4 linked regions of the Lonchura striata genome follow. The protein of the gene in region 1 purifies or fractionates together with the protein of each later gene. This does not show direct contact. Links are inferred from orthologs where the notes say so. Each region holds a gene or a part of one and is shown on either strand. Other genes may lie near its edges.

Region 1 (7,849 bases):
GCTATCTTCATAGCTGCCATTCTTAGCCGTCCAAAGTTAAAATAAAATTGGCCAATATTACTTAAATCTTCTTCAAGAATGACAACCTTATATTTTTATCTTTGGAAGGATGCAAATGCTTTAAATCCCTGTATCTGTAGAAGTTCTACAAGTTTCAGTTTTATTTAGCTACAAAATACACAGAGACAAAAATAAAAAACATATTTAGCAATTATTCCTACCTGGTACTTTCTCTCCTAAGATTGATTCATAAAGACAAACAAACAGGTCAGCACCACATTCTGAGAGATGCTTTATGTGCTGGTTTATGTGACACGCCCTTAAAAGATCATTGGCAACATCAACCCAATCTGTACAGAAGAAAATCATTAATGTCAGAGCTGAAAGACCCAGAAATAAAGATGTGGTTATTTACAGTGAAAATAATCTGTAAGTGTCTTTGACTCCACCAGAGGTGGTCAAACAGGAGGCTGACCAATCCATCCAAAATATTAAACAGTGTTTAAGTGTAATCATAACCCAACTGGACTTGGGAAGTGAAAAACACTGAAGTACCAGAGGCTGGGCAGGTTAATTTTTTTTTCCATGTAATGAAAAACAAATTTGCATCTGGTCTATAGCCAGGACCTCTAAACCTTCAAGACATTAACAAGCCAAGCTTTGATACACCATTTATCAATTATCAGAAATAACAGGTTCTTTTTTTGGAAAACATGAGCTTCTCGGACAAACTCAGGTTCTCTAATAGCCTTAGGCAATGTCATCACTGCTAATGTAACTACTCCTCATAAAAAGTAAATTCTACTTTAATTATTTAAGGATTAGAAGAATACAGAAGTGGTCACACCAAGTTCTCTGCTGAGCACAAGATGTGCATTAACATTGTGATTTTCCTCAAAATTTGAGTCCTAAGATCAAAGTGCTTTGAAACACACATATTTTAACAAGCATTAAGAACTTTAATTTATTGGTGAAGACATAAGTCACCTTTGGAAGAAAAAAGTATAGAATTACTACAACAGAAACAAATTGGTACAGTTTTCAGTCTTCTGTACAGAGGAGTGTTACTTTTCCATCTCTCTACTCCATCAGTTCCAGACATCACCTTAAGTTTCAGATGCACCAAAGGTTAAAGCAGCATCTACATTTCAGGCTGATGTCTTGGAACACTTGAGTTACTGTTCATCTGTAGCTTTATTAAGTTAAAAGTGTAGCCAGGAAAGGAACAAAGAGGGGAAGGGGGAGGTTAATGCAAAGATCTTAAAAAGCTGTAACACAAGAAAACAACAGCTTTATAAATGAATAAGCATGAACTGACTGGGTGAGCTTTAATAAATAATGACTGAATAAAATTGTGCCAGCGATGCGAGCAGCGGCGGGGAGGGGGAGTGATAAGGGAGAAGGAAACTTTCCGGGTCGTCTCTCCCGGCTCTGCGGGTGCCAGGCCGGGCGCTGCTCCGGGAGCGGGGCCCGGGGCCAGGCCCACCGCAGGGCCGGGCGCAGCGAGCGGCGGTCGGAGCCCCCCGGGGCCGGCCCTACCTGCGCCCTCAGCGCTGCCCATGGCGGCACCAACGACCGGGGCCCGGGGCCGCCCCGCCATTTAAACCGCGGCCTGCGCGCCCATTGGGCAGCCGCAGGAAGGGGCGGGGCCGCGCGCCCGGCGCGTCCGGTGCTCTCGGTCGTGGCCGGTGTTACGGGAGCGGGGCGGGCCCAGCGCCTCGGTAACGGGCTTGGGAACAGGCCTGCGCTTGGACTGGGAACGGGGAGCAAAAGAAAGAGCCCGTGCCCCAAGCTAAGCCGCGGCGCCGGTGCCGTGAGGGGCGCCGGTGCGGTCCGCCCGGTTCCGCCACCGGCGCAGGGCCCCGCGGGCCGAGGCCCCGGGCAGCGCGGGCCGGCCCCGGGGCGCTCCGGCCGCCGAGCGCTGCCGGCGGCGTAAAATGGCGGCGGGGAAGGCGGGGGGAGGGGGGCCTGTCCGTCAGGTTCCGCCTCCGTCACCTGAACAGGAGGCGGGTGGCGGCGTTTATCTCGGTAAATGGGGTGGGCAAAGGGCCGGCCTGGGGCGGGGGTGGAGCGGGGGAAGTTGCACCACTTGACCTTGCAGGCGTGCCCGGGACGTTTGCTGGCCTGTATGTCCATTAGCGGGGATTGCTGTTAATTGCCACGGTTTGGCAGTTCGAAGGCATTTCTGCATGAAAGGAGAGCTAAAACGTTTATTAAAAATAAAATGCGTAAATGAAAGTTACTGTACTAGCCGCTAGCATGCAGTTTATTGGACAGGTTGGATGGTGAAAATCTCTTACTTCCCTTTCTGAGCAACAGTATTGCATGCTCCTCAGGAATTCTGGGTTTTCCATGTTGAAAGAAAAAATGGTGCCCTTTATCGTTAAACCCCTCAAGCACGGCAAAGGCAGCTGAGGTCCCAATTTTGACCGTAAGAACAATGACTGGCAGCAATAAAACCTCAGTGCTGTGAGCTCCAGCAGCCCACGGGTGTCATTTGTCGATCCAAATCCAAGTGCACACACCACCTCAGGAACACAAAAGAACTTTTGTTGTGTGTAAGCAAACACAGATCAGTGCTATCGAAACTAAACTAAACACAGATTTTAGTTTGCTGCATACACAGCTCTGCAAAACTGTTGATTTGTTTCCATGTGCTGGCTCTAAGAGAACATGGGAAAACCAAGGATGTTTAACTTAGGAGGGTGGAACAGAAAAATGAGGAAGTTTTTTTACAAAGTAAATTGAAAGGAGTTCCTTGCAGACTTAACTGCGTGTAGACAAGGCAGGGACTGGGTTTTTGTTTAGTCTTTTCAATTCTTTAATACCTTAGAAAGATTAAACAGCACAGTAACAGGAGCCACAGAGTTATACACAAACAAAACCAAATTAAGCTGTGTTAAGATAAATGCACCAGAACAAGAAAAGATAATTCATTTTTACAGCGTTTGCAAAAAATTTTTTTAGACTCACCAGGAACAGGAAGCCTGTAGGGTCAGAAGGTGGAGAGTGTTAGTAGGGGTATTTGGGGTTAAAAATTTTTCATAAGCCATATTAAATAAGTAAGTCTCTACTGAAAAAAACTGGGGGCATTCCTCTACTAGAAATTTGCTGGGGTAGTATTAGCAAAACTGGTCAAGTTGGAGTGCTATTGAAAGAAATAATTAATTACAACAAAAAATTGGTTGAGCAAGGTGGAATTCCAAATTGCTGAGGTTTGAACAGTTTTGGCTATTCATAAACAAAATAACCCTGACTTAGGTGTTACTTTTGAGGACAATATCATGCAGACCTCTAGTCTTAGCAAACCCTGCTCTATTCTTAGCAACAAATTTTAAAAACTGCTATAAAGTAATACACAACAGATCGAAACCACCTTTATACTTTCATTATGTAGATCTGTATGAGGTCCAGATCTTAAATGCTGTGAATTTCTTGTCAATAAAGGCAAAAATAGCAAGGATAATTAGAAGCATGGAATCGCTTTAAAAGGAGGAAAAATTACACTGCAGCTTTGGTTTATTATAAAGGAGGTGACTTAGAAGATATTAATGCCCACAAACAGTATAAATAAACAAAAAGTTATTACTCACCATTTCTACTAACTCATTGTTTTATGCTCCTTATTATTATCCAGCAATATGTTGAAAACGAAAGTAAATGTTTTTCAGGTTGCATACACTAAAACCGTAAAATACATTGTCATGGTATCTTACAAGCTAAGGGCATAAATAGAACCAAATGTGAAGAAATGGCCATCAAATACAGTTATTTTTGTCCCAGAAAAGCCTTAAAGCACAGATTGCTAGAAGGTGGGAGGATATAAATGGGAAGTGTTGTTATAGCACTTCTCCTTCCTTATGTTGTTTTCATTTCTTCCCTCTCTGCCTGGAGCAGGTGGCTTCGGGTGTTTGTGCTTAAAACTTTAAGTCCTGTGTGTGTAAAGCTTCAGGTCGCCTGACACTGGCCTGGCAAAGCCGGTGGGTGAACAGCAATGTCCACTTGGGGTATTGAGTGTTTTTATCCCGTGCCTTCAGAGCAGCTTTTCAGCACCACTGCACCTCACATGACCTTTGACTCAGGTTACTGGCCCTGGTGTGGAATCCAAAAAGATAACACTGGTAATTTTACAGACATATGCTTATAAATATTTCTGTTCATGTATATGTTTATAAACATTTTTTAAAAGGCAATGGGTTAACAGAATAAAAGAACTAGCCTGAGGAGGTTTGATGTTATTTTGCATCCAGCTCCAGGATCTGCACATCTGGGTCCTTCTGAGAGCGAAAGTCACAGGTGGACATAGAGCCAATGTACCGTGAAGTATGAGTTTTTATTAGTTAAAAACCTGGGCTCATCTCAAGTTATTTCAGGAGGATTTTCAGAAACAGATCTGTGAGAACTGGGGGACTGCACTGCGGACATCAGGGTCCGGCTCTGCCCTGCCAACAGTGATGAGGAGCTGAGCTGCGAGCTGCGTTCTGAACACGCTGGGAGGCCGAAAGCCTGCACTTAGGGAGGATGGAAGAGAGCATTCTCCATTTGCATTTCCGGCCCCCTCAGGCCGGGATGCCCTCAGCCAGAACGAGGCTCCCGCCCGCAGCGGCCCCGCGCAGGCGCGGGCAGGGGGTGGGGGCCGCTCCCCGCGGGGAGGGGGCACTTCCGGCCGCGAGCTCAAAACCGCTCGGCCGGGCGAGCCGCGGCCACGCCCACAAAGGGGCGGAGCCTCGGCTCGGCTCGGGCCGCTTGCATAACGGCGGGGGTGGGGCCTGCGCGTGCGTCACGCGCCGGCTCCCAGCAGCCCCCGCTGCGCCCTATATAACCGGCGGCCGCGCGGCCGCGCGCCCACAGTGAGCGGCCCCCGCCAGCGGCGCCGGATCTTGTGCAACCCTTCGCCACCCGCTCTAAGCGACCGGAGTCGCCTCGCCCACCGCCACCATCGCCATGCCCGGGTATTCCAGCGACAGGGATAGAGGGTGAGTCCGGGGGCACGGCTGGCGCCAGCCGCCGCCAGCGTCCGGACTCTGAGCCTACCCGTGGGGCTCTCGGGGTTGTTTTTCAGACGTTTTAAGATGGCGGCGGGGCGGGGGTTCGGCCCTGAGCCCTTCCCTCAGCGCTCCCGCCGCGAGGGTTGGCCGTGGGGGAGGGTATCGGGCTTTTTTAGGCCACCGACTGGAAGATTCCTTCGCCTCAGAGCACCCCTCGCGGGTGTGCTACCGCTGAGAATAGCGTGGGGGAGTTTTAATTTTTTTTTTTTCCTGTTGGGAAGGAAAATACTCGCCCCAACCCCCTTGGGACGCCCCCCGCCCAGCACAGACGGTCCGTGCAGAGCCCGATTCCCCCCGCTGGGAGCGGCGGGCGGGCTGGAGGTTTGTGGGTCAGTGGGTTGGCTGTGCCGAAGCCTTGGGGAGCTCTCGGCAGGGCGGTTCCCTCCCGTCCCTTCCCCCTCCCGAGGCTCGGGCTGTGGCCGGCCGGAGCCGGCCGGCTCCGCTTTGTGTTGTGTAAGCGGATGTTAATGGCCGGCCCCGCCATGCGGTGGCTGAGGGGAATCAAAATGCCGGCTATGCTGCTGCTGCCTTTGTTCCTCCTCCCCCCCGCCCAGCCCGGCTCTAAAATGGCAGCGGCTGGAAAATGTGGCGTAGACAGAAATGAGAGACAAAGGAAACAGCGCTGGCAGGAAGCAGCGGCCGCTCGGGAAGCGCTGTGTTGTGCTGGGAAGGATCGTTCCCAGTGCCCGCCCGGCCAAAATTGGGAAGTGATCGGGCCGGGGGAGGGAGACCTGCGCTCGGATCCAGTGCGCGGCACCGATCTGCGCCTCGGGGCTTTCGAGATCAGCCTCCTCCGAACGGAGGGACGGAACCTGAAACGCTAATAAAGCGCATGTCCTCATAAAACACCGTTGTTAAAAGAAGTCTGTCTTTTGGGACATGCAAAAGAACGGTTTACAGGAAAGTTATCTCAAGGTTTCGTAACTGCTCCTGCTTTCAGTAATAGGACTGTCACTGGGACGGGAAACCATTTTGATCACGGGGTAGTGCCAAGGTTTTAATGCTTGTTGTAACTTGCTGTTCAATTGCATTGTATGGAAATGGGAAAGACGTTGTCTTAGCTTGTGAGTGTGAATTGTGGCCAGGCAGATTGTGGCATCTGCAGCTTAAAGTATGGCTTTTAAAGTTCTAGTGTCCTGAAACTTCGATATGTAGAGTTTCTACATCTAAATTGTAAAGTTAATGGGTGTACTGCAGACATAGTGGTGAAGTTGTTCAGGAGGACCAAAATGTTTTTCATGCATTCTATAATGTGTTCTTTTTGCCTAGGTTTGGAGCCCCTCGTTTTGGAGGAAGTAGAGGTGGACCTCTCTCTGGGAAGAAATTTGGAAACCCTGGGGAGAAACTTACAAAAAAGAAATGGAACTTGGATGAGCTGCCCAAATTTGAGAAGAACTTCTACCAAGAACATCCGGATGTAGTTAGACGTACTGCGGTATGTACCTGACCTGGCTCAAGCCAAAAGTAAACAGAAAGTGCAAACATGTTGAGGGTCATGAGGCCCAGCAGGCACAGATGGGGTAACTTAAAATATAACTGGTATCAGACATTATTTCCAATAATGGGTGTTTCTTTTTGCAGCAAGAAGTTGAACAGTACAGAGCGAGCAAAGAGGTCACAGTTAGGGGCCATAACTGTCCAAAACCAATTATCAACTTTTACGAAGCAAACTTCCCTGGTAAGTGAAGACCAGTTTACTTAACTGTTCTCCAGACTGGATTAGGGCAACATCTGAATCTGTATGTTTAAATTTTCTCTTCAAGCAAATGTTATGGAAGTAATTCAGAGGCAGAACTTCACTGAACCAACTGCTATTCAAGCACAAGGTTGGCCTGTTGCATTGAGTGGATTGGATATGGTTGGAGTGGCACAGACTGGATCAGGGAAAACACTCTCTGTAAGTTTTGATTATAGCCTGAAATACTGCTGGATTTCAGCAGTGACAGTATGGCCTAGCCTAGCACAGGGTGAAAACTTCTAGGAAGAGATTGTAATGAGATTTTTCTTTCTTCCAATCAGTACTTACTGCCTGCCATTGTGCATATAAATCATCAGCCATTCCTGGAGCGAGGAGATGGACCTATTGTGAGTATTCCTAAATTAAAGGGGATTTTAATTTCTAAGGATTTTATTTTACAGTCTCAGTTGGTCCTGCTCATAAGAGTGCATAGCTGCATTCTGCTTCTCTGTGTGAATAAAGTGGTTCCCTGTTGGGCTGATTTCCCTAGCAGATTCTATAATCTCTGATTGGGTTGTCCTCAAAATAGTACAGAACAGGGTTTGATTTTGGGTTATATTTTGGAAGTTGCTATCCCTGGAAGCTACCAGGTAACTTGGTTTGCTGGTTTGGCTGCTTAAATCTACTTCTGTCAATCTGGCATTGAACTTTACACTCAAAATTTTAAGTCTCAGACTAACCTTCCAATGGGTATTGAACTAAAAGATGGGTATCCTGTTTCCAGTGTCTTGTGTTGGCACCAACCCGTGAACTCGCCCAACAAGTGCAGCAGGTAGCTGCAGAGTACAGTAGAGCGTGTCGTTTGAAGTCCACGTGTATTTATGGAGGTGCTCCAAAGGGACCACAAATCCGTGACCTGGAAAGAGGTATGGATCAGCCTTGGTGCATCTGTCTGAGGGAATGGGGAAACTGCTTCAGCTGATGGGACTGCTTGGTTTTAGGTGTGGAAATCTGCATTGCAACACCTGGAAGACTTATAGACTTCTTAGAAGCTGGAAAGACCAATCTCAGGAGGTGTACTTACCTTGTCCTTGATGAAGCTGACAGGATGCTTGACATGGGA
Region 2 (7,379 bases), on another chromosome or scaffold:
ACAGATACTTTTCCTCAAATCAGCTAAGATCCATCTGTAAGTACTAACAGTAGAATTACAGAACTTCCAGATTACAGCCAACACTAAAGTTTTTCCACAGCACTTTTGCTCAAACACAATGTAAAGTAGGCATTTATTATATGTGCCTTCTGTCAGTGCTGCAGCCATTTTAAGAAATAACTCTCACTGTTCAATCACATGAATATAGAACCTTCATCTAAAATTGTTACTCAGTTTTATCATTACAGCTGAGAACTTACTAAAACACATCCATAATCTATACAGGCACAGAAACTGAACAGTTTTGTGAATGGTGACAGAGCACTTCTTTTGATTAATTGCAAGAGGAATTTTAGAGTGCACCAACTTTCCTGGGAGCACTGTTGGCCTGCACCAGATTCTAGATGTAGCTTATTCTGACATAAGCTTCTTTACAGAAAGTGGCTTGCAGTCTCTCTATATCTAACACAGCTCATGCATTCAATAATGCACTATAAAAATTCCCTTCTCCCTAAGCCAAAGTTTCTTTGCAGGTAAGAAGTAGCACGGGAATATTTACATTTCACTTATGAAGGTTGCAATGTTACAGAACAAACAAAAACCAGTTTGAAAGCATGTCTTCAAAGAAATCACCATATTTTAGCTTGTTGGCAGTTTTAGCAAGAAAGGAAAAAAACACAGCGGGGTGGGGGGGAACGCTGAGCTTGAATTTCAGGTCTCCGGTCTAAGCTCACACACCACCACTTCAGCTCATTTTAAACTGAACGGTGACATTTTATGACTTTTTGAAGGTGCAGAGTTTCAGCGTCTGCCACTTTTAAAGGTGAAATTACATATTAAAAAAATCTATGAAAGAACTCTAAATTTCTTCCCAATTTTTTTCCTAAATTAAAGTCTTGAATCCTTCCAAAGTTCCAGACAAGAATAGCAGTTGGCATCTCATGGAACATTATACTGTCACAGATTTCTGCACAGGTTGTTTAGCTTTAATTGTTACTTTAATTTCTCATGGAGGCGGAGGAAGGAAAAAAATATTTTTCCTTTTTGCTTCTTGCAAAGGAAACTCCAGAACAAGAAATGTGACGTTTTTATTTAGTACTTTGTAAAAGTACTAGGTCTTAAAATCATTCAACACATCACAGAAAACTTTTGAGTCACATCTCCTAAAATACTGAAAGGGCATTTTCTGAAAGACTTAGTACATTTCAAATAGTCACATTTTAATAATCACTAGTGAGCCTAGTTATTGTACACTATGTACAAGTAATACCCATCCTTCTGCAGATACTTGATTGTTACCACAAATAAACATTCCCAGGACTCTCAATTTGATATAGACACTGGGAACAAACAAGGAATTACCTTTAAATTTTTATAAATTGCATAAAGAATCTGAATGTGCCAACCCCCCCCAAAAAATATTAGCCTATCTTTGAGAAGAATCCCCACCTAGATGTGAAGATCACACTAAACGTGCTGGCAAAAACTCTTTGCTGAAATCTGTATTAGTAAGAACCAAACTCACAATAGCTGAAAGTAGAGTTGCTAGACTTAAGAAAAGACAAACCTATCCTGCTAAAATTAAATTACCTTCTCCAAACTGTTACGTGCTTCTCATCAGAGAGAATAAGAATCTGAACTTCCAGCTTTAGAAATTTAAAAAACTTTTCTCTTGCTCAAATAAAATCAGTATGGTGCTTTGTAAGTTAGAAAGTATCTCGAATAATGTACAAGTTTGTTGTCCCATTCCTGCCGCACATCTGTGCACGCGTTGCTTTTCTTTAGTGTATGAATAACAATTTTGGAATCACCACGAAGACCTGGTAATGTTAAATACATGTGCATGATGCCACAACACACCGATTTCTTTATCCAACCACACATTTGTTGCTCACGGACGGCTCAGCCCAGCACTCTCCTTCACACCTCCCCAGACACCCTACCTTTAAACAGTGCTCCGTATCGCCGTGCTTGGCGATATGAGACCCAAAACCCCGGAATTTTCAGCTATTTATGAACTTTCTCCCGGCGCTCTGGAAGATCGGGATCGCACGGTGATCTCCACGATTAGGAAGTTCGCCGGAGCAGCCGCCAGACCGAGCTCCCCCCCGGCCCCTCCCGAGCTCTCTCCCTGAGCCCGGAGCGCCCCAAAGCCGAGGCGGGACCCCCAGCGCAGCCCCGCCGTCCCGCGGGCGGGCGGCCCGGGCGCGCTCAGCCTCCCCGCCCGGCCGGCCCCGGCTTCCGGGAGCCCGGGCGGACTGTCCCGGCTCCCGGGAGAGAGGGACGAGCTGCGTGCCGCGCTGCCCACGGCGGGCACACGGCTTTCGGGCGCACGGCTTTCGGGCTCGACACGCACGCACACCTCCCTCTGCCCGCGCCGGGGCCACCGCCGCGTGCCGCCGGCTGGAGCGGAGAGGAGGGGAAGGGAATCGCCGGGTCTGCCCCCCGCTCTGCCTCCCGCCGCCCCCGCCCTTCGAAGGAGTGACGGCGAGCTCGCCCCCAGCCCGGGCGTGCGCCCCGCCGGGCGGGGACCGGAGCCGCCGGCCGGGCTGGACGGAGCCAACTTAGACAAAGGGCACTCCAGACTCCATGTCTCCCCCCTCCAGCTGTCACCGGCCGGGAGCCCGCGTGTCTGCCCGCCGGCTCCCCGCGGGAAGGGGACGCGGCTGCTCCCCGTGAGCCGCCGCCGCCGCTGCCCCCATCCTCCCCTTCCTCCCTGCCGCCCCCTCCCCTCCTCTCCTCCCCTCCCCCATGACAAAGGACCCGGGTATAAATAGCCGCTCCCGGCGCCGCCGCCGCCTCGAGCCCGCGAGGTGTCGCTCGCCCGCCCGCTCACTCACCCGCCCCCCCGCCGCCCCGGCTCCGCGCCGCCGCCGCTCCCGCCGGTGCCGCCGCCAGCTCCGCTCGGCGCTCCCGCTCTGCCTCCCTCCGCCTCCGGCTGCCGGATTCACCCTCCCGGACCGAGCGCCAAACACGCCGGCCCAATCGCCATCGCGCTCATTGGCGAGCGCCGAGCGCCGCCTCCATTGGACGGGCGGCCGCGGCCGGGGCCCCGCCGGGCCAATCGGGCGCGGCGGCGGGCGGGGCGCGGGGCGCGGCCTCGCTCCCCACGTGCGGGGGGGGCAGGGAGGGGTGGGGAGAACTCTTTGTTCTCGCGCTGCCCGCGCGGGGGGACGGGGGGCTCGCGCTCCCCCCGCTCCCGCCGCCCCCCGCCCCCCGCGCCGCGCGGCGGGGCCGGGCCCGGGGCCGCGCCGCGCCGGGGCCGCTCGGAACTCCGCGGCCGCCTCACGTGGAGAAGGGGCAGAGGGAGGGGAAAGGGGAGGGAGGCGGGCGAGAGGATTGGCGGGCACCGGGAGGGGCCGCGCTCCCGCTCCCGCTCGGCGCCGCTGCCGAGTTTGAATCGGTCCGAGAGCGGGAGCGGCGTAACGGCCGTAACGGTCCCGGGGGCGGGAATGTCCGGAGCGGCCCCTCCGTCCCGCCGCCGCTCCGCCTGTTGCGCCCCCGGCGCCGGAGCTCAGCCGCGGCAGGTCACTCCGGCCTTCCTCCGTCTTCAGCAGGGAAAAATAAAATTGCCAAGATAAGTTTTGCTAGCGGGTACTTAGCCCGTCCCTTGCGACCGCATCCCTTTCCGATGCGCCCCGCATCGAGTGCTACTTCCGAGACACACTGGAGCCGTACCCTTGCTTCCACAAGTCCCGTCATCCTTCCTTACCAAATATCACCTCTCCTCTTCCTTGTGGCTACCTCAGCGCATCTTCAGGGGCAGAAGTGAGCAGCGGCCACTGTAAGGGGGTTCTGACTAAGAAAAGTCTCTCACGGAGGAAATAAATCACAAACGCGCCCACATCGCCAGATCATGCCGTGGGCTTGCGTGTCTCACAGACGTGACACGTAGGGAAAACGAGGATGTATCAGCCCTGGAGGCTGGGGACAGCCCACGCTGGCGGGGCAGCCCCGCCGCTCCCCGGCGGATGTCTCGGCCGGCTGAGTCACTTTGCAGCGCTGCTGCTTCGCGTCCGCCTCTTTGACCTTTGCTTGCCCAAACTTCACCGCCGCCAGCCCTCCTTCAGCGCATCGCGCCGGCGGCTTCCTCTCCCTCGCTGCTCCGCATCCAGCGCGGCTTCCCCCTGTCGTGGGGGGATGTCATAAATCGCAGCAGCCGCAGCAAAGTGCTCTCTCCGCATCAGGCTCGCATCCTGTTGCTCGCTACGTGCTGTCTCCAGCCTCTAAGGCTGCTGCTGTTTTCCCTCGTTTCTAATCCACGAGCCGCGCTCATCAATCTTGTTGCCGAGGTTGTATTTAAAACTTGACGGTTCGTGCACCTTTTTACTCTGCCGTCGTCCTGCTCTCTGGTCGCTCCAGCCTTTACTCTGCTTCAGCAGAGAAAAATAAAATTGCCAAGATAAGTTTTCTAATGATACACTTCACCTCCCTTGTGACCAGATCACTTTCCCATGCGTCCCACATCGAGTGCTACTTCCGATGTGCGCTGGAGCAATCGATACATGGTTGTTTCCGTCATCCTTCCTCACCAAATATCAGCTTCCCTCTAACTTGTGCTTCCTAGCGCTACCTTAGTGCTTCTACAGGGTCAAAGTTCAAAAAATGACCAGTGGCCACTGTAATGAGGTCCTAAGTGATAAAAAGTTCTTGCAGGGAAATAAATCACAAATGCACCTTCATCCCCCAATTAATGCAGTTGGCTTATGTGCCAAGTGAGGCTTGGTGTTCTCCTACTTAAAGGCAATGTACTTGTGTGTTTTTATAGTCTCTTTCTATGTGAAAGTACTTAAAATTTCCGGGCTTCATTGTGTATTAAACTTGGAGTGAGGTCTCAAGTGTGGGCATTCCCACTCTGGATGTTCTTGATTTACCTCATGGCCTTGAAAAGGTGTTTCTAATAGTATCTCTTTTTTTGATTTTTGTTTTTGTTTTTGTTTTTGTTTTTTAATCTCTGGGGTTTCATGAGTTACGAGCAAAAAGCACGCAGCAGAAATTATTTCCTATTACAGTTACATGTCATATTGTGGTAGATAGCTATAACCTTCCTCGCATTCTAGTGGAGTGGCTGACAATTGGGAAGATTGTCTTTAAAATATTACATTTGAAAAATATTAGTCATTTCTGGAAATTCAGCTATTGTGAATCTATTCTACCCCAAGATGGCTGCCACCACCAAAATGGCTACCCAGTCTCGTCACAATTTAGGTTTTGTAATTTATTTTGATCCTTCAAGATGCACTTCATGAGATCTGGTTTTGGTCAACAAGAAAAGTAATAATTGCTAGATAAGGGTGAGGTAACTTAATGCAGCAGATACGCTTAGCCACAAGGTGGAAAGATCTGCATTATAGAACCTACCCTGTGAACTAACCTCAGCACTGATCACATCCTTTTCCTCTCTTGTACAGAAGATTATTCATCTGCTGTACCTGAAAGTGATGCTTACTAGAAAACTGTACATGTTTTGAACTGAGTTACTGTTTCTTCTTTGCACTGTACAAAACAATCTCTACACCAAGGCTCCATTCTAGGCTCTTAAAACAATGAACTCCTGTCAAGAAATTCTATGAGGTGCTGATTTCCTGATCCGTAGTTCAGGCTGCCTCAAACCTCCTGGAGAATTTTGGTAACAGTTTGATTCTCTACACAGGAGTTTAATGTTGCAACAAGCTCCATACAGACTTTCTGTTTTCACAGAATAAACCACCCAAATGGTTTTCTGTTTCTGCTGTATTTCTGTGATTAAAAAGCAACTATTTGAACAAGGATCTGTATTATGCAGAGACATTCCAATTGGATCTTTAGGTAAAAATAGCACAACAATTTTTGAAATAATTACAAAACCTGGTATTTTGAGGAGCCTTTCTCAAAGGAGTGAATTCTGGTGGCAGCATGGTACAGTGCTTTTGAGAAAAGTGGCTAACATTGAAGAAATATACACATGTTACATGACAATTAAATAAAATCAGGCTCAAGAAAAAAGTATCAGTTTTAGACCCTTCTGGAACTGTTGAAAGCATTTGCCCTTTTTTTATAGCTAACACACTGTAGAAGAGCATTTTCTATGTTTCCAGCATATGAATGTAACATGTACATTCATATTGCATGTATGACTATGTAGAATAAGGATTTGTCAGTGCTAGATCACCAGCATCAATTAGACATAAAAATAATTGTTTGACAGCATCAGGGTATGATTGCTTCCATGGGGGGATCCTTATGTGCTTCTTTCACCCTTTAAGGAGTGGTATTTGAGTCCAGGAAAAAGAAGGGGCAAACAAAATTCTGCTGCAAAGCAAAATTAACAGTTAAGTGGTTTCTTTTAGATATTTTTAATATCTGAAAGAAGGTGTTATTTCTAAAGCATAGGATATTCTTTATGCACTATTATCCCAAGATTTCCTTGTAGTTAGAATCATATGGTATTTCTTCCCGTCAGGCTTGGGGGACCAAGCCAGACCTGTCTGGGAACTACCTCGGCCTGGAATAACGAGAGATGTTGGCCAGTTTTCCCCTCGCCCACCCGTTTTTTTCCAGGAGAGGCGCAGCAAGGCTGCCCCCAGCACTGGCAGCCCGGAGCAGAGACGCCGGTAGCTGCATCTGTAATTCTTGTAGATAAGCTGGTGACTTGCTGATGGCAGCGTCGCTTTCCTTTGTGCTCCGGAATGGCAGCGCAACAAAGCTGCGTGCAGCTTTGGGCTGGCTCTCTCCGTGGCGCGGGCTGCTGGCTCCACGGATCGGTCACACAGCCTCCAGAGGTTCAGCCTGCTCGTGCTCCAGCTCCCGAGCTCGCTGGAAGGGAGGAAAGGAGGATGGAGGGGTAGGTGTAACCCTGTCCTGGTTACACCTACCCCTACAATCAAAGCCGGTAGCACTGCAAGTAGTATTTCATCCCGTAGAGCGTTTAGGAGCGTGATCTTTGTTTCTTGGTGTTTTCCTAACCCTGTACTTTTACAGAGACCCTAGCTTGTAGTGTGTCTGAAATTCTGCATTTTGGTCCATGTGAATTTGATGAGATTTTACAAAATGTTTACATATGTAGAAATGTAACTACAGTCTAAAATCTAAAGTAAGTACAGTCTAAATCTGTAATAGCATTTATCTCTTATGCACGGCAATGAATACACAGAAATCAGAATATTAAGTGGCATATCATAAAAAGGCATATCAGAGACCCTTTTAAAGTATTGGCCTCTTGTATCATTATTATAAAAAAAGCAGGGAGTTTGTGTTAACTTTTAACAAGAAATTAATGACTATGTTTTGCAACTAGCCACTTTGAGATTAGCTATGTTTTCAAATGTTTTACATTAATATCTTACTGGTATGTATGGACCAATTTCCCTCAAAGAAATGCAACCTTATGAACGGTTTTG
Region 3 (7,130 bases), on another chromosome or scaffold:
GGGAATTCCGCTAAAATCCCTAAATGTAACAGTGTGCAATACAGAAAACCTGATCCTATGTGAAGCCTCAGAATTCCACCCCAAATCGCTCCATTTTAACCGATTTTTTCACCGTTTCCGCTCCCGATTTTTCCCAAAATCCTCATATTTCGCCCCAAAATTCCCGATTTTTTTTAGGAATTCCACTAAAATCCCTGAATATAACTTAGTGTGGAATGCAGAAAAACTGATCCCATCTAAAATCTCAGAATTCCACCCCAAAATCCCTCCTATTTCAGCCAAAAATCAGCCAATTTTGGTCCGGATTTCGCCGTTTTCACTCCCAATTTTTCCCAAAATCCGCATATTTCACCCCAAAATTCCCAATTCTTTTGGAAATTTTTTGGGAATTCCACTAAAATCTCTTGATATAACTTAGTGTGGAATGCAGAAAACCTGATCCCACGTGAAGCCTCAGAATTCCACCCCAAATCCCTCCTTATCTCAGCCAAAAATCAGCCGATTTCGCTCCGGATTTCGCCGTTTCCGCTCCCGATTTTTCCCAAAATCCGCGTATTTCGCCCCAAAATTCCCGTTTTTTTTGGGAGTGCGACTCACAGGAGGCGGCTCCGTAGTGTCCCTGCTGCCCGTAGCCGCCGCTCGGGGGGTTTGGGAACCTGATCCCACCCCAAATCCTCCCAAATCCCCCCAAACTTCAGCCCATTTTGCCCAAAATCTGCGGATTTCGCCCCAAAATTCCCGATTTTTTGGGGAATTTTTTGGGAATTTCATTAAAATCCGTAAATATAATTTGGAACCAGTTGGAGAAAAACCAATTCCCACCCCAAAATCCCTCCTATCTCAGCCCAAAATCAGCCGATTTCGCTCCGGATTTCGCCGTTTCCGCTCCCGATTTTTCCCAAAATCCGCATATTTCACCCCAAAATTCCCCATTTTTTTGGGAATTTCACTAAAATCCCTGAATATAACTTAGTGTGGAATGCAGAAAACCTGATCCTACGTGAAGCCTCAGAATTCCACCCCAAACGCCGAAAATCTCAGCCAAAAATCAGCCGATTTCGCTCCGGATTTCGCCGTTTTCGCTCCCGATTTTTCCCAAATTCCTCATATTTCGCCCCAAAATTCCCGATTTTTTTGGGAATGCGACTCACAGGAGGCGGCTCCGTAGTGTCCCTGCTGGCCGTAGCCGCCGCTCGGGGGGTTTGGGAACCTGATCCCACCCCAAATCCTCCCAAACTTCAGCCCATTTTGCCCAAAATCTGCGGATTTCGCCCCAAAATTCCCGATTTTTTTTGGGAACGTGACTCAGATCCCTGGATATAATTTGGAACCAGTTGTAGGACCATTGTTTCTATCCCAAACCCTGGAATTCCCCCATTTGTGCCGATTTCAGTTCCGATTTCGTACTTTTCGCTCCCGATTTTGCCCAAAATCCGCATATTTCGCCCCAAAATTCCCGATTTTTTTTGGGAATGTGACTCAGATCCCTAAATATTGTTTGGAACCAGTTGTAGGAAAACTGTTCCCACCCCAAATCCCAAAATTCCACCCCAAATCCCTCCTATCTCAGCCAAAAATCAGCCGATTTCGCTTTGGATTTCACCGTTTTCACTCCCGATTTTTCCCAAAATCCGTGTATTTCGCCCCAAAATTCCCGATTTTTTTGGGAATTCCACTAAAATCCCTGAATATAACTTAGTGTGGAATGCAGAAAACCTGACCCCACGTGAAGCCTCAGAATTCCACCCCAAATCCCTCCTATCTCAGCCAAAAATCAGCCGATTTCGCTCCGGATTTCGCCGTTTTCGCTCCCGATTTTTCCCAAAATCCTCATATTTCGCCCCAAAATTCCCGTTTTTTTTGGGAGTGCGACTCACAGGAGGCGGCTCCGTAGTGTCCCTGCTGGCCGTAGCCGCCGCTCGGGGGGTTTGGGAACCTGATCCCACCCCAAATCCTCCCAAATCCCCCCAAACTTCAGCCCATTTTGCCCAAAATCTGCGGATTTCACCCCAAAATTCCCGATTTTTTGGGGAATTTTTTGGGAATTTCATTAAAATCCGTAAATATAATTTGGAACCAGTTGGAGAAAAACCAATTCCCACCCCAAAATCCCTCCTATCTCAGCCAAAAATCAGCCGATTTCGCTCCGGATTTCGCCGTTTTTGCTCCCGATTTTTCCCAAATTCCTCATATTTCACCCCAAAATTCCTGATTTTTTTGGGAATTTCACTAAAATCCCTGGATATAACTTAGTGTGGAATGCAGAAAACCTGATCCCACGTGAACCCTCAGAATTCCACCCCAAATCGCTCCATTTTAACCCATTTTTTCGCCATTTTCGCTCCCGATTTTTCCCAAAATCCTCATATTTCACCCCAAAATTCCCGATTTTTTGGGGAATTTTTTGGGAATTTCATTAAAATCCGTAAATATAATTTGGAACCAGTTGGAGAAAAACCAATTCCCACCCCAAAATCCCTCCTATCTCAGCCAAAAATCAGCCGATTTCGCTCCGGATTTCGCCGTTTTCGCTCCCGATTTTTCCCAAATTCCGCGTATTTCACCCCAAAATTCCCGATTTTTTTTAGGAATTCCACTAAAATCCCTGAATATAACTTAGTGTGGAATGCAGAAAACCTGACCCCACGTGAAGCCTCAGAATTCCACCCCAAATCCCTCCCATTTCAGCCAAAAATCAGCCGATTTCGCTCTGGATTTCGCCGTTTCCGCTCCCGATTTTTCCCAAAATCCTCGTATTTCGCCCCAAAATTCCCGTTTTTTTTGGGAATGCGACTCACAGGAGGCGGCTCCGTAGTGTCCCTGCTGCCCGTAGCCCGGGGGCGGGTTGTAGGAGCCCTGCTGCCCGTAGCTCTGCTGCCCGTAGGCGCCGCTCGGGGGGTTTGGGAACCTGATCCCACCCCAAATCCTCCCAAACTTCAGCCCATTTTGCCCAAAATCTGCGGATTTCACCCCAAAATTCCCGATTTTTTTTGGGAACATGACTCAGATCCCTGGATATAATTTGGAACCAGTTGTAGGACCATTGTTTCTATCCCAAACCCTGGAATTCCCCAATTGTGCCGATTTCGCTCCGGATTTCGCCGTTTCCGCTCCCGATTTTTCCCAAATTCCTCATATTTCGCCCCAAAATTCCCAATTTTTTTGGAAATTTTTTGGGAATTCCACTAAAATCCCTAAATGTAACAGTGTGCAATACAGAAAACCTGATCCCACGTGAAGCCTCAGAATTCCACCCCAAATCGCTCCATTTTAACCCATTTTTTCACCGTTTCCGCTCCCGATTTTTCCCGAAATCCGCGTATTTCGCCCCAAAATTCCCGTTTTTTTTGGGACTGCGACTCACAGGAGGCGGCTCCGTAGTGTCCCTGCTGCCCGTAGCCCGGGGGCGGGTTGTAGGAGCCCTGCTGGCCGTAGCCCTGCTGGCCGTAGGCGCCGCTGGGCTGCGGCTGCGGCTGCGGCTGCGGCTGCTGCGCGTAGGCGCCGCCCGCCGCGCCCGGCCCGTAGCCGGAGCCGCCCGAGCCGCCGCCGTAGCTGCGGAGAAATGGGGTGAAAAATGGGGATTTTGGGAAAAAATGGGGGTTTGAGGGGGAATGTGGGGGGTTTGGGGGGGGGGGGATGGGGGTTTGGGGGGGGGATGGGGGTTTGAGGGGGGAATGGGGGTTTGAGGGAAGAGGCGGAAAAATGGGACTTTGGAAAGGGGAAAATGGGGATTTTGGGGTGAAAAAAGGGGATTTTGGGAAAAAATGGGGGTTTTGAGGGAAAAAATGGGGGGTTTGAGGGGGGAATGGGAGTTTCAGAGAGAAAAATGGGGGTTTGAGGGGGGGGAAATGGGAGGTTTGGGGGGGAAAAATGAGAGGTTTGAGGGAAGAGGCGGAAATTTGGGGTGTGAAAAATGGGAGTTTGGAAAGGGGAAAATGGGGATTTTGAGGTGAAAAAAATTGGAGTTTTGGGGTGAAAAAAGGGGATTTTGGGAAAAAACAGGGGGTTGAGGGGGAGAAATGGGGGCTGAGGGGGAAATAGGGGTTTTGAGGGGACATATGGGGAGTTTGGGGGGGGAAATGGGAGGTTTGAGGGGGGGAAATGGGAGGTTTGAGGGAAGATGTGAAAAAATGGGACTTTGGAAAGGGGAAAATGGGGATTTTGGGGTGAGAAACGGGGATTTTGGGAAAAAATGGGGGTTTTGAGAGAAAAAATGGGGGGTTTGAGGGGGGAAATGGGGGGTTTGAGGGGGGGAGATGGGAGGTTTGAGGGAAGAGGTGGAAATTTGGGGTGTGAAAAGTGGGAGCTTGGAAAGGGGAAATGGGGGTTTTGGGGTGAGAAACGGGGATTTTGGGAAAAAAATGGGGGTTGAGGGGGGAGAAATGGGGGTTTTGAGGGGGAAAATGGGGGTTGAGGGGAAAAATGGGGGGTTTGGGGGGGAAATGGGGGTTTTGAGGGGGGAAATGGGATTTTTGTGGGAAAAGGGGCTTTTAAAAGGGGAGTTTGGAAAGGGAAAATGGGGATTTTGGGGTGAAAAAAATTGGAGTTTTGGGGTGAAAAAAGGGGATTTTGGGAAAAAACAGGGGGTTGAGGGGGAGAAATGGGGGTTTCAGGGGGAAATAGGGGTTTTGAGGGGACATATGGGGAGTTTGGGGGGGGAAATGGGGGTTTTGAGGGAGGGAAATGGGAAGTTTGAGGGAAGAGGCAGGAAAATGGGACTTTGGAAAGGGGAAAATGGGGATTTTGGGGTGAAAAAAGGGGATTTTGGGGAAAAATGGGGGTTGAGGGGGGAGAAATGGGGGTTTTGAGGGGAAAAAATGGGGGGGTTGGGGGGGAAATGGGAGGTTTGAGGGGGAGAAATGGGAGGTTTGTGGGAAAAGGGGCTTTTAAAAGGGGAGTTTGGAAAGGGAAAATGGGGATTTTGGGGTGAAAAAGGGGATTTTGGGAAAAAATGGGGGTTTTGAGGGAAAAAATGGGGGGTTTGAAAGGGGGAAATGGGGGTTTGGGGGGGGAAAAATGGGAGGTTTGTGGGGGGGAAAATGGGAGGTTTGAGGGAAGAGGCGGAAATTTGGGGTGTGAAAAGTGGGAGCTTGGAAAGGGGAAATGGGGATTTTGGGGTGAGAAACGGGGGAATTTTGGTGTGGAAAAAGGGGATTTTCGGAAAAAATGGGGCTTTGAGGGAAAAAATGGAGATTTTGAGGGGGGAAAATGGGAGTTTCGGGGGGAAAAATGGGAGGCTTGAGGGGGGGAAATGGGGGTTTTGAGGGGAAATATGGGGGTTTTGAGGGGGGGGAATGGGGGTTTGAGGGGGGGAATGGGATTTTTGTGGGAAAAGGGGCTTTTAAAATGGGACTTTGGAAAGGGAAAATGGGGATTTTGGGGTGAAAAAGGGGATTTTGGGAAAAAATGGGGGTTTTGAGGGAAAAAATGGGGGGTTTGAGGGGGCGGAAATGGGGGTTTGAGGGGGGAAATGGGAGGTTTTGGGGGGGAAATGGGAGGTTTGAGGAGGGAAATGGGGGGTTTGAGGGAAGAGGCAGGAAAATGGGACTTTGGAAAGGGGAAAATGGGGATTTTGGGGTGAGAAACGGGGATTTTGGGAAAAAATGAGGGTTTTGAGGGAAAAAATGGGGGGTTTGAAAGGGGAAATGGGGGGTTTGAGGGGGGAATGGGGGTTTTGAGGGGGGAAATGGGGGGTTTGAGGGAAGATGAGGAAATTTGGGGTGTGAAAAGTGGGAGTTTGGAAAGGGGAAAATGGGGATTTTGAGGTGAAAAAAGGGGATTTTGGGAAAAAACGGGGGTTTGAGGGAAAAAATGGGAGTTTCGGGGGGGAAAAATGGGGGGTTTGAGGGGGGGAAATGGGATTTTTGTGGGAAAAGGGGCTTTTAAAAGGGGAGTTTGGAAATGGGAAAATGGGGATTTTGAGGTGAAAAAAATTGGAGTTTTGGGGTGAAAAAAGGGGATTTTGGGAAAAAACGGGGGGTTGAGGGGGAGAAATGGGGGTTGAGGGGGGAAATGGGGGTTGAGGGGGGAAATGGGGGTTTTGGGGGGAGAAATGGGATTTTTGAGGGATGACGCGGAAATCTGGGGTGTTAAAAATGGGAGTTTGGAAAGGGGAAAATATGGATTTTGGGGTGAAAAAAGGGGGAATTTTGGGGTGAAAAAAGGGGATTTGGGGAAAAACGGGGATTTTGAGGGGGAAAATGGGGGTTTTGAGGGGGAAAAATGGGAGGTTTGGGGGAAAACACAGGAATTTGGGGCGTGAAAAATGGGAGCTTGGAAAGGGAAAATGGGGATTTTGGGGTGAAAATATTGGAGTTTTGGAAGGGAAAATGGGAAATTTGGGGTGAAAAGGGGGAATTTTGAGAAAAATGGGGGTTTGCAAAGGGAAAAATGGGAGGTTTGCGGGGAGAAAATGGGGGTTTCTGGGGGAGAAATGGGATTTTTGAGGGAAAAGGGGCTCAAAAAAGGGGAGTTTGGAAAGGGAAAATGGGGATTTTGGGGTGAAAAGGGGGGATTTTGGGAAAAATGGGGATCTCCAGGAAGGGAAATCGGAATTTTGGGTTTAGAAGACATGAATTAGAGGGTAAAATGTGGGCACGTGGGGGAAAAATGTGGGAATTTGGAGGGGAAAAAACGGGAATTTCAGGGGTTGGGGTTTGTGTTAGTGCTTTGGGGTATTAACAATAACAATTAATTAGTGCTAATTAAGGATTAATTAGTGCATTAATCACCCTCCAGAGGCCGAGGCAGCCGCAGGGGGCTGGGAATACCCAGGGCAGGAGGAGCTTTGGAGTTACTGGTGTGGGGTTTGTGTTACTGGTTTGGGGTTTTAATTAACAATAACAATTAATTAGTGCTAATTAAGGATTAATTAGTTAATTAATCACCTTCCAGAGGCCGAGGCAGCTGAAGGGGGCTGGGAATAGCCGGGGTAGGAGGAGCTCTGGAGTTACTGGGAGTGACCGGGGTGGGGTTTGTGTTACTGGTTTGGGGTTTTAATTAACAATAACAATTAATTAGTGCTAATTAAGGATTAATTAGTTAATTAATCACCTTCCAGAGGCCGAGGCAGCTGAAGGGGGCTGGGAATAGCCGGGGTAGGAGGAGCTCTGGGGTTACTGGGAGTGACT
Region 4 (7,885 bases), about 720 kb from region 1:
AGTGACCCCTCTGCTTGTGGCAGAGGCAGTGGCTGAACTGGGAGAGTTACCAGACATCCCTTTGTGGAGGCTCTCAGCTCAGTCGAAGAGAGAACAGAGAGAATTCTCTCAGGCTTCAGCCTGGGAAAGTTAGGAGAAAGAATTCAAACAATTATTATCTCTCTTTCTGTTCATGTTGTTTTTATAGACATATTCTACCACAGTGTGCACCAATAGTGTGAAAGGTTTTTACTTTGACACCAATCGTATTCCACCCTAGTGAGTCAGACTACAAAAGTACTTGCTACTTAATAAACATTCTTTAAGCCTTCTGAACCACGGGAGTCTTTTCGTCCCTCCCTGACTCAACAGCAACACCCCTTCAACATTCTTTCACTGATACTTGTTTACTTTTCAGGACATCTTTTGATAGGAGGTTCTTGCACGCCACTGTGTTTCCATTTCACTGCAAGTCTCTGGAGAGCAGGATGACCACAGGAAGTTTTTGTCATTCTGCATTCTAGAATGAAGAATTGGATTCACATTTAAATGACACATTACCTTCAAAAACAGAACATCATCACTTTCAGTTAGTGCCATCTCAATCTGATCTTTGAGAGACTGAATCTCATTCTTCTTATTTCCCAGAACGCTGTAAATATAATCAAGCTTATTCCAAACTCTCTTTTCTTCCTCTGCAATTGCTTTCATGATCTCATTTTCTCTTTCTTCAATTACAGCTTTAACTTCTGAAAACTCATTTCTGATTAATTCCATCTTTCTTGAAGCTGTCTCCTGGGGTAGACAAGAGCAGACAGGTACTGGTTTCAAAACAACAGTTTGTAAACAAAATACTCTAAGTGCTACTGCATGAAAGCCTCTGAGGAACATGTGGGCTTCTCTTCCTTTAAACAAGCAAGAGAAGAGCTGTCGATTTCTATGTGGTTTGGAAAGAAAACTTCACTCACAAGGAATGGAGCCCATTCTCAGTGTCACCCTCACGTGAGGGTATAAGACATTGCACAGTGCCTGGTTTATTCCTATGTCCCCCAGAGCTGCCTGGCCCTGCCAAAACTCCTCTTTTCTGCTGCTTCCCAGTAACACCTTCTCCTGCCAATGCAGCCTCAGCACTACAGCCCTTGTCACAAGGGTAAAATCACCAACACCATGCAGTGGCCAGCGGGTGCCAGGCAAGCCAACAGTACTCTGAGCAGTTCTCCACTTACAGCAGTTTGGTTCTGTTTTGTTTTCACCGTGCTCATTGCCCGGGCAGTTCTTTCACCCTGGTTATGCAGCTCCACAAGTTTTTTCTTCAGCATCGACTGCAACAGGAAAGACCAGAAAGTATTTCAGAGAGGCAATTGTCATGTCTGCTCTCAGTTTTGAATACTCTTGTAAGCATTTAGTACTCTCAGCTTAAAACCTACCTTTCCTTGAATCTTAGGGGGTGCAAAAGTAGCATCCTGCAAATATGGCTTGTGGCACCCACACCCTCCCCACCTCTCCCAAGAGCATATTGCCATTGCTGACACTCTCTTCACAAACGACCTATGCTTTCATCAGCACAGCAGTTCTCATGCTAAGAATAAATGTTAAATTAGCTCTCACATCAGACTTCCAGCACAGAGTTGATGCTACTGTTCACCCCTCTCCTTTTGAGAATGTTCTCTTAGATGTGATTTACCTGTTCCTTTAGTTCAAGATTCTGCTAAGCTCAATCAGGGCTATGTTCTGCAGCTACACTGTGTACACACCCACTGAACAGATGGGAGTTTGACCATCTAAACTTTTTCAGCATACTTCACTCATCCACATTGATTTTCAGCTGTGCTGGAAAATATAAAGTCCAGGTTTCCTTCCTTTCTACTCCTTCTGGCTTTCATCTACATATTTGAGGTCTCCCTAGGATACCTTTATAATTCTTCTTCTTAAGAACATCTGCAGCAGAATGTCGGCCCCTCAGGCTGTGACAAGCCGTGGCAGGGAGCAGAGCAGCAGAGGAGGCTCAGAGCTCTGGCTGACGCCACAGAGAATGGGAGCCTCGCTGGTAAACCCAGCCCAGACTAGGACAGCCCAGCCCTGTCAATCCAGCTCCCTGGCAGCGCCTTCCCAGACCCCTGCTCTTGAGCAACATCTTGGAGAGACGAGGAAAATGGAAGGAATGGCTCTGAGGACGTGCCTGAGCACATGTTGGAAGGCAGATAACAGTTTATCAATGCCAGACCGAGATTTACAGTCGATGTCTTGTTCCGGCCTCCTCCCCGCACTCCAGAGCGGCTCCCCCGGCACCGAGGGAGGCAAGGGGCGCTCCGGGGTGCCCTTGGGAGGATGTTCCAGCCCCGGCCAGCCCCGGCCGCTCACCTGGGCAGTGGCTGTTGCTTCCTCCAAGGGGCTGGTGGGGCACAGCTTGTGCCCGAGCAGGCAGAGGGAGCAGATGCAGACGCCGTGCTTGCTGCAGAAGAACTCGAAGAGCCTGTTGTGCTGGGGGCACTTGCGGAGCTGCAGGTCGCGCAGGGGCGGGCAGAGCTGGTGGTCGCGGAAGGCAGGGCTGTCGCGGTGCGGCCGCAGGTGCTCGGCGCAGAAGGACGCGGTGCAGGTCAGGCAGGTCTGCACGGCCGGCGCCTCCTGGCAGCTGTCGCAGGACACGGGGGGCTCGCCCGCCCAGCACCCCCCCGCCTCCCCATCCCCATCCCCACCCTCATTCTCCTCCTCTTCCTCGCTCTTGTCCCCGGAGCGGCCCTGGAGCTGCTCCACCACCCGGCACAGCACCGTGTTCTTCTGCAGCTGCGGGCGGGCCGCGAAGGTGGCCCGGCACTGCGGGCAGCTGAAGCCCCCCGAGAGGCCGGCCCAGCTGAGCTCCAGGCAGGAGGCGCAGAAGTTGTGCCCGCAGGGCACCGTCACGGGGCTGCTGAAGAGGCAGAGGCAGATGGAGCAGGTGAGATCCTCCTCCAGCCCCGACAGGCCCGGCTCCGACTCCAGCGCCGCCATCGCCCCGTCCGCAGCTGCCCCAGGAGCCCGAAGCAAACCTGGCCTCGGAGAAACGAAACTACGGCCGGGGCTTTCCGGAAAATTGCGTGTCATCCCCGCCCCGACGGGAGGGGCGGCAGCCGAGGGACGAACCCGGGGCGCCCGCCCATGTGGGGGCCGGGCAGCGCCGGGATGCCGGGGGCGCAGCCCCGCGGAACGGGACCCCGCGGCAGCGCCGGGCCGGGGCTCCGGGCCGGGGCTCCGGGCACCGTTCCCGGAGGTGCCCGGGGCCGCGGGGTCGGCTCTAACCGCAGCGGAGCGTTCGGGGCGCTGCCCGGCCCGCTCCGGCTCAGGGCAACCCGGGACAGCAGCGCTCCGCCCGGGCTCAGGGAGTGCTGAACCCAAATCGCCCCGAGCACCGCCCCAGCTGCTCCGAGTTTTGGGTCAGATGGGTGCTGGAAATCCTACGGACTCATAGGTTTGGGTTGGAAAGGACCTTAAAAATAATCTGTTTGCAACAGGTGATGTCAGGGCAACGTTTTCAAAGCACACAGGTTACTGATTTGTGATTGTGGAAACCATCTGAACAGGAGATGCTTCCTCAGATTTCTTTTTCTTAGTCTAACTGTTCAATAATCACCATTTCTAACAGGAACACTGATGCTGAATAGCAACATGGCAAGTACTCCTGTCTTAACTAACTTGACCACAAATTGTTCCAGTGGCCTCTTCCTCCTCCCTCTTCTGCCCTGTCTGCTGGTGTCCCAGGGATTTCCTTGGGACCCTCTATATTTTTCCACCCATGCTGGCAGCAGGGATAAAAGGAGCAGCCTGGCACAAAGTCTGTGACCCCCCAATAATTTAAACAGAACCTGATGGCCTGCAGCAGAAGGAGCCATGTGCTCTCAACTCTTGTCCAGTGGGCAAAGAACACCTTGTGTGGAGAACTGCTGAGCTTCCCTTTAATGTAATTTAAAAGTATTAGCAGGCCATCTTGTTGGCGTTAGTTCTTGGGGACTTCCAAGAATGTTCAGGAGTTAAACAGAATCACAGAATGAACTAGGTTGAAAGAGACTTTTAAGATCATCTAGTCCAACCTATGACCTAAACTAACACCTCCTTATCAACTAAACCATGGCACTAACTGCCACATCCAGTCTGTTTTTTAAACTACAGGGATGATGATTCCACCACCTCCCTGGACAGACGATTCCAGTGCCCAACCACTCTTTCAGTGAAGAATTTCTTTCTAACATCTAACCTAAACTTGCCTTGGGGCAGCTTAAGGATGTATCCTCTGGTTCTGTCAGTGCTGCCTGGTGAAAGAGCCCAACCCCACCTGAGCACATCCACCTTTCAGGGAGTTGTACAGAGTGATAAGGTCACCCCTGAGTCTCCTTTTCTCCAGGCTGAGCACCCCCAGCTCCCTCAGCCGTTCCTCACAGGGCTTGTGTTCCCAGCCCTCTCCAGCCCTGTTGCCTCCTCTGGATGGGCTCAAAGGTCTCAACGTCCTTCCCAAACTGAGGGGACAGAACTGGACACAGCACTCAAGGTGTGCTCCCACCAGTGCCGAGTACAGGGGGAGAATAACTTCCCTGGCCACTGTTGCTGATACAGGCCAGGGGCTATTGGCCTTTTTGGCCATCTGGGCACACTGCTGGCTCATGCTCATGCTCAATATAAAGCACTCAAAAGAAGCAATGTTGGGTGGTCTGTTACAAGTGAAATCAGCTCCTAGCCAGTTCTTTTGGACTATTAAATTAAATTTGGAGAATCATTGTAAAGCTGTGTTGTACAGATAACATGGACTTGTACCTACACCAGTTATCCCTCCAGCCTTTTAACACTCCTTCAGGATAAGCTGCAGAGGGGTTGTGTGTCACAGGGCTCTGAGTCACTGCCCAGTAACAGATACAGGCGCAGAACCGACAATGGAGGCATTGGGAGCTGCAGGGCTGTGACAGGAGCAAAAGTTCAGGATCAGCTCTGTCATGTGCTCGAGGGTGGAGTTTCTAGGAAATGCGCACGGTGCCACAGGTTTACAGCATGGTTGGGATGTGCTGATCAGGACTTTGTAACTGCTGTTACAAGAAATGTAAACACCTGATGGGGTGGCTGAGAGGGATGGCAAAGGAACACTCTCAGAGAGCTGTGCTGTGCATGAGATGGGACAAAAGAGCAGCTCTTAATGTTTGCATTTTTTATTTTTCCACAGGTTCCTCAGTCCAGATAAGCCCACCCTGGGCTTATCTGGACTAAACCTCTGTCATCTTTCAAACACTCAGCACCTTCACTGTATTTTCTGTGGCACTCATATGGAATCAGCTGATATAGACAAAGGTATGCAAATAAAAAAGGTAAATATAAACCCTCACAACTGCAGCTTCTGCTTCTGGAGCATGGCACGGAATGTTTAGAGTTCAGATGAGCAATTTAAGTTCCACATTGTCAAAGATGGCTTGAGATTCTGGTTTGGAGAAAGCCCAACCACTCCTGTTGTCTATGAGACAATAAATTTTAACATAAAAAAATTATTGCTAGCATTTGAATAGCTATTTAAGTTATTACTCACTTCTGCTTGCAAATACTTGAGAACTTCCTGTGATTCCAAACTGAAACTAACCCTTTGCCCAGCCACTGCACATTCCAAGTACCCCGCAGAGCTTAAGCAGGGCTTTAGAAGCACAGTGGGATAAAAGGCACCTCACATTCCTGCCCCCAGCAAGGGGGCTGAGCGATGGGAGAGCCCCAGGGACAGACAGGCAGCAGTGAGGGTTTGCTCAGTGTTTCACCACCTCCTTGTGGGATTCACGTGCACATTGTCCCATCCCAGATTCCTCAGAGCAGGATGTGGATGGGACAGGCAGGGCTCTTGGCAGTTCCCTCAGATTGCCTGCCCTTGGTCTGATTTGACTTGCTAACAGTGGGTAAATAAAACTCAAGATTTTACCTTCAAAACACCCTCTCTTCTCAGGGGTGTATTTATTTTCCAGCATCACCCGTGTGGCACAGCCAGAGGGACTCAAAATCATGCCAAAAATGGAGGCAATGGAACAACAGGTACTGTGAAACATTTGCATTTAGCTTTTGCAACTTCCTAAGAATTAACAAGTAACAATTCCCTTAGAAAAAGAATCTTTCCATTAATCCTCACTGTCTGAGCATGACTGTGCTCCTGTTTGACATCCTCTTTTCATTCAGTTTGCAAGAACAGCCACACAAATCTAACCAAACTGTTATCTAAAAAAGCAAATCCTAGCATGAAATAATGGTATCTAAAGTGAACCACAAAACACAAATACATTTTACTTGTATAAAAACGATTCCTTCACAAACAAGGCATTTTACTAGGGCTGATGCAAAAATGCACAGAACTTTAATGGATTCATGCACTAGGTCAGAGTACATGACAGCTAAACCATAATCTACAAATTTTCAGGTCTTTGTATCTAGGGTTGCTTTTTCACATGTCTTTCCTGTAGGAGGCAGCTACCTAGCACAGGGATTATCTGAAAGTGTAAGACTTGCCAAGGCTCCAGAGGTACAAGGTCCCCCTCAATGCTAATAATAATTATTAGAGCTGTCAGTGCAGCGCCTTGCCAGCACCTGGTGACCCATTGTGCTGCTGGAAAGAAGTAGAAAGAAGAAAAAAAGAAGAAAGGAAAGAAGCAGGAAGAAGAAAGGCAGCACAGCAACTTCATCACTTAAAGGGCAAGAGGGTTTTCTCTAAAACCAACAATAAAGGCTTTCAGAGCCTACATGGATTAACACAGCAGGACACAATTGTGCCAGGGGTTCATGTTGTATTTCACTGGTTCTAAGCAAAGTTGACAGTCACCAGTGCTATTTATTTGCCTCAAAATTACAGAAACCTTGAAATCCACATGCTTTTCTGGATATGTTTAGGTGAACTCTTTAAGTAACTACAGCATCACAGCATCTGTATGCTGTGGCAACAGCAGAGGGACAGTTCTGCACATCAACAATATTTATAATAAATTTTTAAATGAAAGTGACTTCTGGCAGTCACACAGCTCTAGCCAAACCCAGACATTTAAACAATTACTCACAGTACAGGGTTGTGTTTTATCTTTTAATCAAACCATTCCAGTTCTGCAGCCTGGTACAGTAGAAATATTCAAACCCAACAGGTCTACATTAGACTTCCTATAATAAACAAAGTTTTCATGTATTACATAAAAACATAACCTAAGGGAAAAAAAACATTTTTCTTCTGGCCTACTTCTTTTAAGACAGTAACATCCATCAGTGCACCTGCCACCCTCAGAACCAGAAGACAGCACTTCATAGAACAGATCTGTACAATTGTTCACATCTTTTCACACACTAGATGTTCCGTTTGCAACGCTGGATCCGTTCACTGGAGGCTCCACAATCAGTCTTGGCTCTATCAGCGCATCCCAGCTCTCAGTTATCTGAAAACAAACCACAGGCAGCACTTGGCAGGTGCCAGCAGCACCAGCAGATGCAATTTCTGTGCTGTTATGCTTTTGCCTGGACCACTGAACCAAGATCACAACTCCTCCTGTGAGTCACTGATCCTACTGGAGAACCTCAACCTGCCTGATGTCCTGGGTAAGGAAAGATGCAGGTAAGAACAAAAGTGATGAAAGGGAAAGCTGGTAAGAAAGGATCTCTATGAGACATGATGTTGTTTATTAGCCAAAACAAGAATTCTGGTGAGTGGCAGTGACCCCAGTTAATTGAGTACCATGCAAGAGCTGATTATTATGATGTAAACATGCACCTTCTTGCTAGAAAGAAACAATTACTTTTGCTTCCATTGATTCAAATCAGACGGATGATTACAAAGGAAATGTCCCTGAGGCAAAGAGAGACAGGAAGCAGGGCAGGTGCCAGCTCTGCAGAGCTGGTGGCAGGACTCAGAGCAGCCCCACGTACCTTGGTCTCCTGAGGC

What was found.
Region 2: the proteins of DDX5 (region 1) and EZH2 purify together in Homo sapiens (affinity purification with mass spectrometry; 4 studies listed by BioGRID, with this or other methods). This does not show direct contact. The link is inferred for Lonchura striata from reciprocal best matches to the Homo sapiens genes DDX5 and EZH2.
Region 3: the proteins of DDX5 (region 1) and RNA-binding protein FUS-like purify together in Homo sapiens (affinity purification with mass spectrometry; 5 studies listed by BioGRID and IntAct, with this or other methods). This does not show direct contact. The link is inferred for Lonchura striata from reciprocal best matches to the Homo sapiens genes DDX5 and FUS.
Region 4: the proteins of DDX5 (region 1) and TRIM25 purify together in Homo sapiens (affinity purification with western blotting; 3 studies listed by BioGRID, with this or other methods). This does not show direct contact. The link is inferred for Lonchura striata from reciprocal best matches to the Homo sapiens genes DDX5 and TRIM25.

What each region holds. Positions count from the first base shown.
Region 1 is NC_134621.1:8,414,442-8,422,290, reverse strand, and holds the start of DDX5 (putative ATP-dependent RNA helicase DDX5), read left to right. Parts: upstream 1-4,836; 5' UTR 4,837-4,944; coding exon 4,945-4,976; intron 4,977-6,317; coding exon 6,318-6,483; intron 6,484-6,629; coding exon 6,630-6,726; intron 6,727-6,811; coding exon 6,812-6,945; intron 6,946-7,067; coding exon 7,068-7,133; intron 7,134-7,510; coding exon 7,511-7,652; intron 7,653-7,727; coding exon 7,728-7,849. Other genes in the region: CEP95 (centrosomal protein of 95 kDa), read right to left, coding at 222-350, 1,540-1,600. UniProt on the Homo sapiens protein: Involved in the alternative regulation of pre-mRNA splicing; its RNA helicase activity is necessary for increasing tau exon 10 inclusion and occurs in a RBM4-dependent manner. Binds to the tau pre-mRNA in the stem-loop region downstream of exon 10.
Region 2 is NC_134603.1:107,631,286-107,638,664, forward strand, and holds the start of EZH2 (histone-lysine N-methyltransferase EZH2), read right to left. Parts: upstream 3,001-7,379; 5' UTR 2,841-3,000; intron 1-2,840. UniProt on the Homo sapiens protein: Polycomb group (PcG) protein. Catalytic subunit of the PRC2/EED-EZH2 complex, which methylates 'Lys-9' (H3K9me) and 'Lys-27' (H3K27me) of histone H3, leading to transcriptional repression of the affected target gene.
Region 3 is NC_134637.1:542,518-549,647, forward strand, and holds the start of RNA-binding protein FUS-like, read right to left. Parts: upstream 3,001-7,130; coding exon 2,799-3,000; intron 1-2,798. Other genes in the region: uncharacterized protein LOC144247894, read right to left, coding at 3,243-3,552. UniProt on the Homo sapiens protein: DNA/RNA-binding protein that plays a role in various cellular processes such as transcription regulation, RNA splicing, RNA transport, DNA repair and damage response. Binds to ssRNA containing the consensus sequence 5'-AGGUAA-3'.
Region 4 is NC_134621.1:7,694,471-7,702,355, forward strand, and holds the start of TRIM25 (E3 ubiquitin/ISG15 ligase TRIM25), read right to left. Parts: upstream 3,001-7,885; 5' UTR 2,968-3,000; coding exon 2,341-2,967; intron 1,302-2,340; coding exon 1,206-1,301; intron 775-1,205; coding exon 541-774; intron 1-540. Other genes in the region: COIL (coilin), read right to left, coding at 7,287-7,382, 7,870-7,885.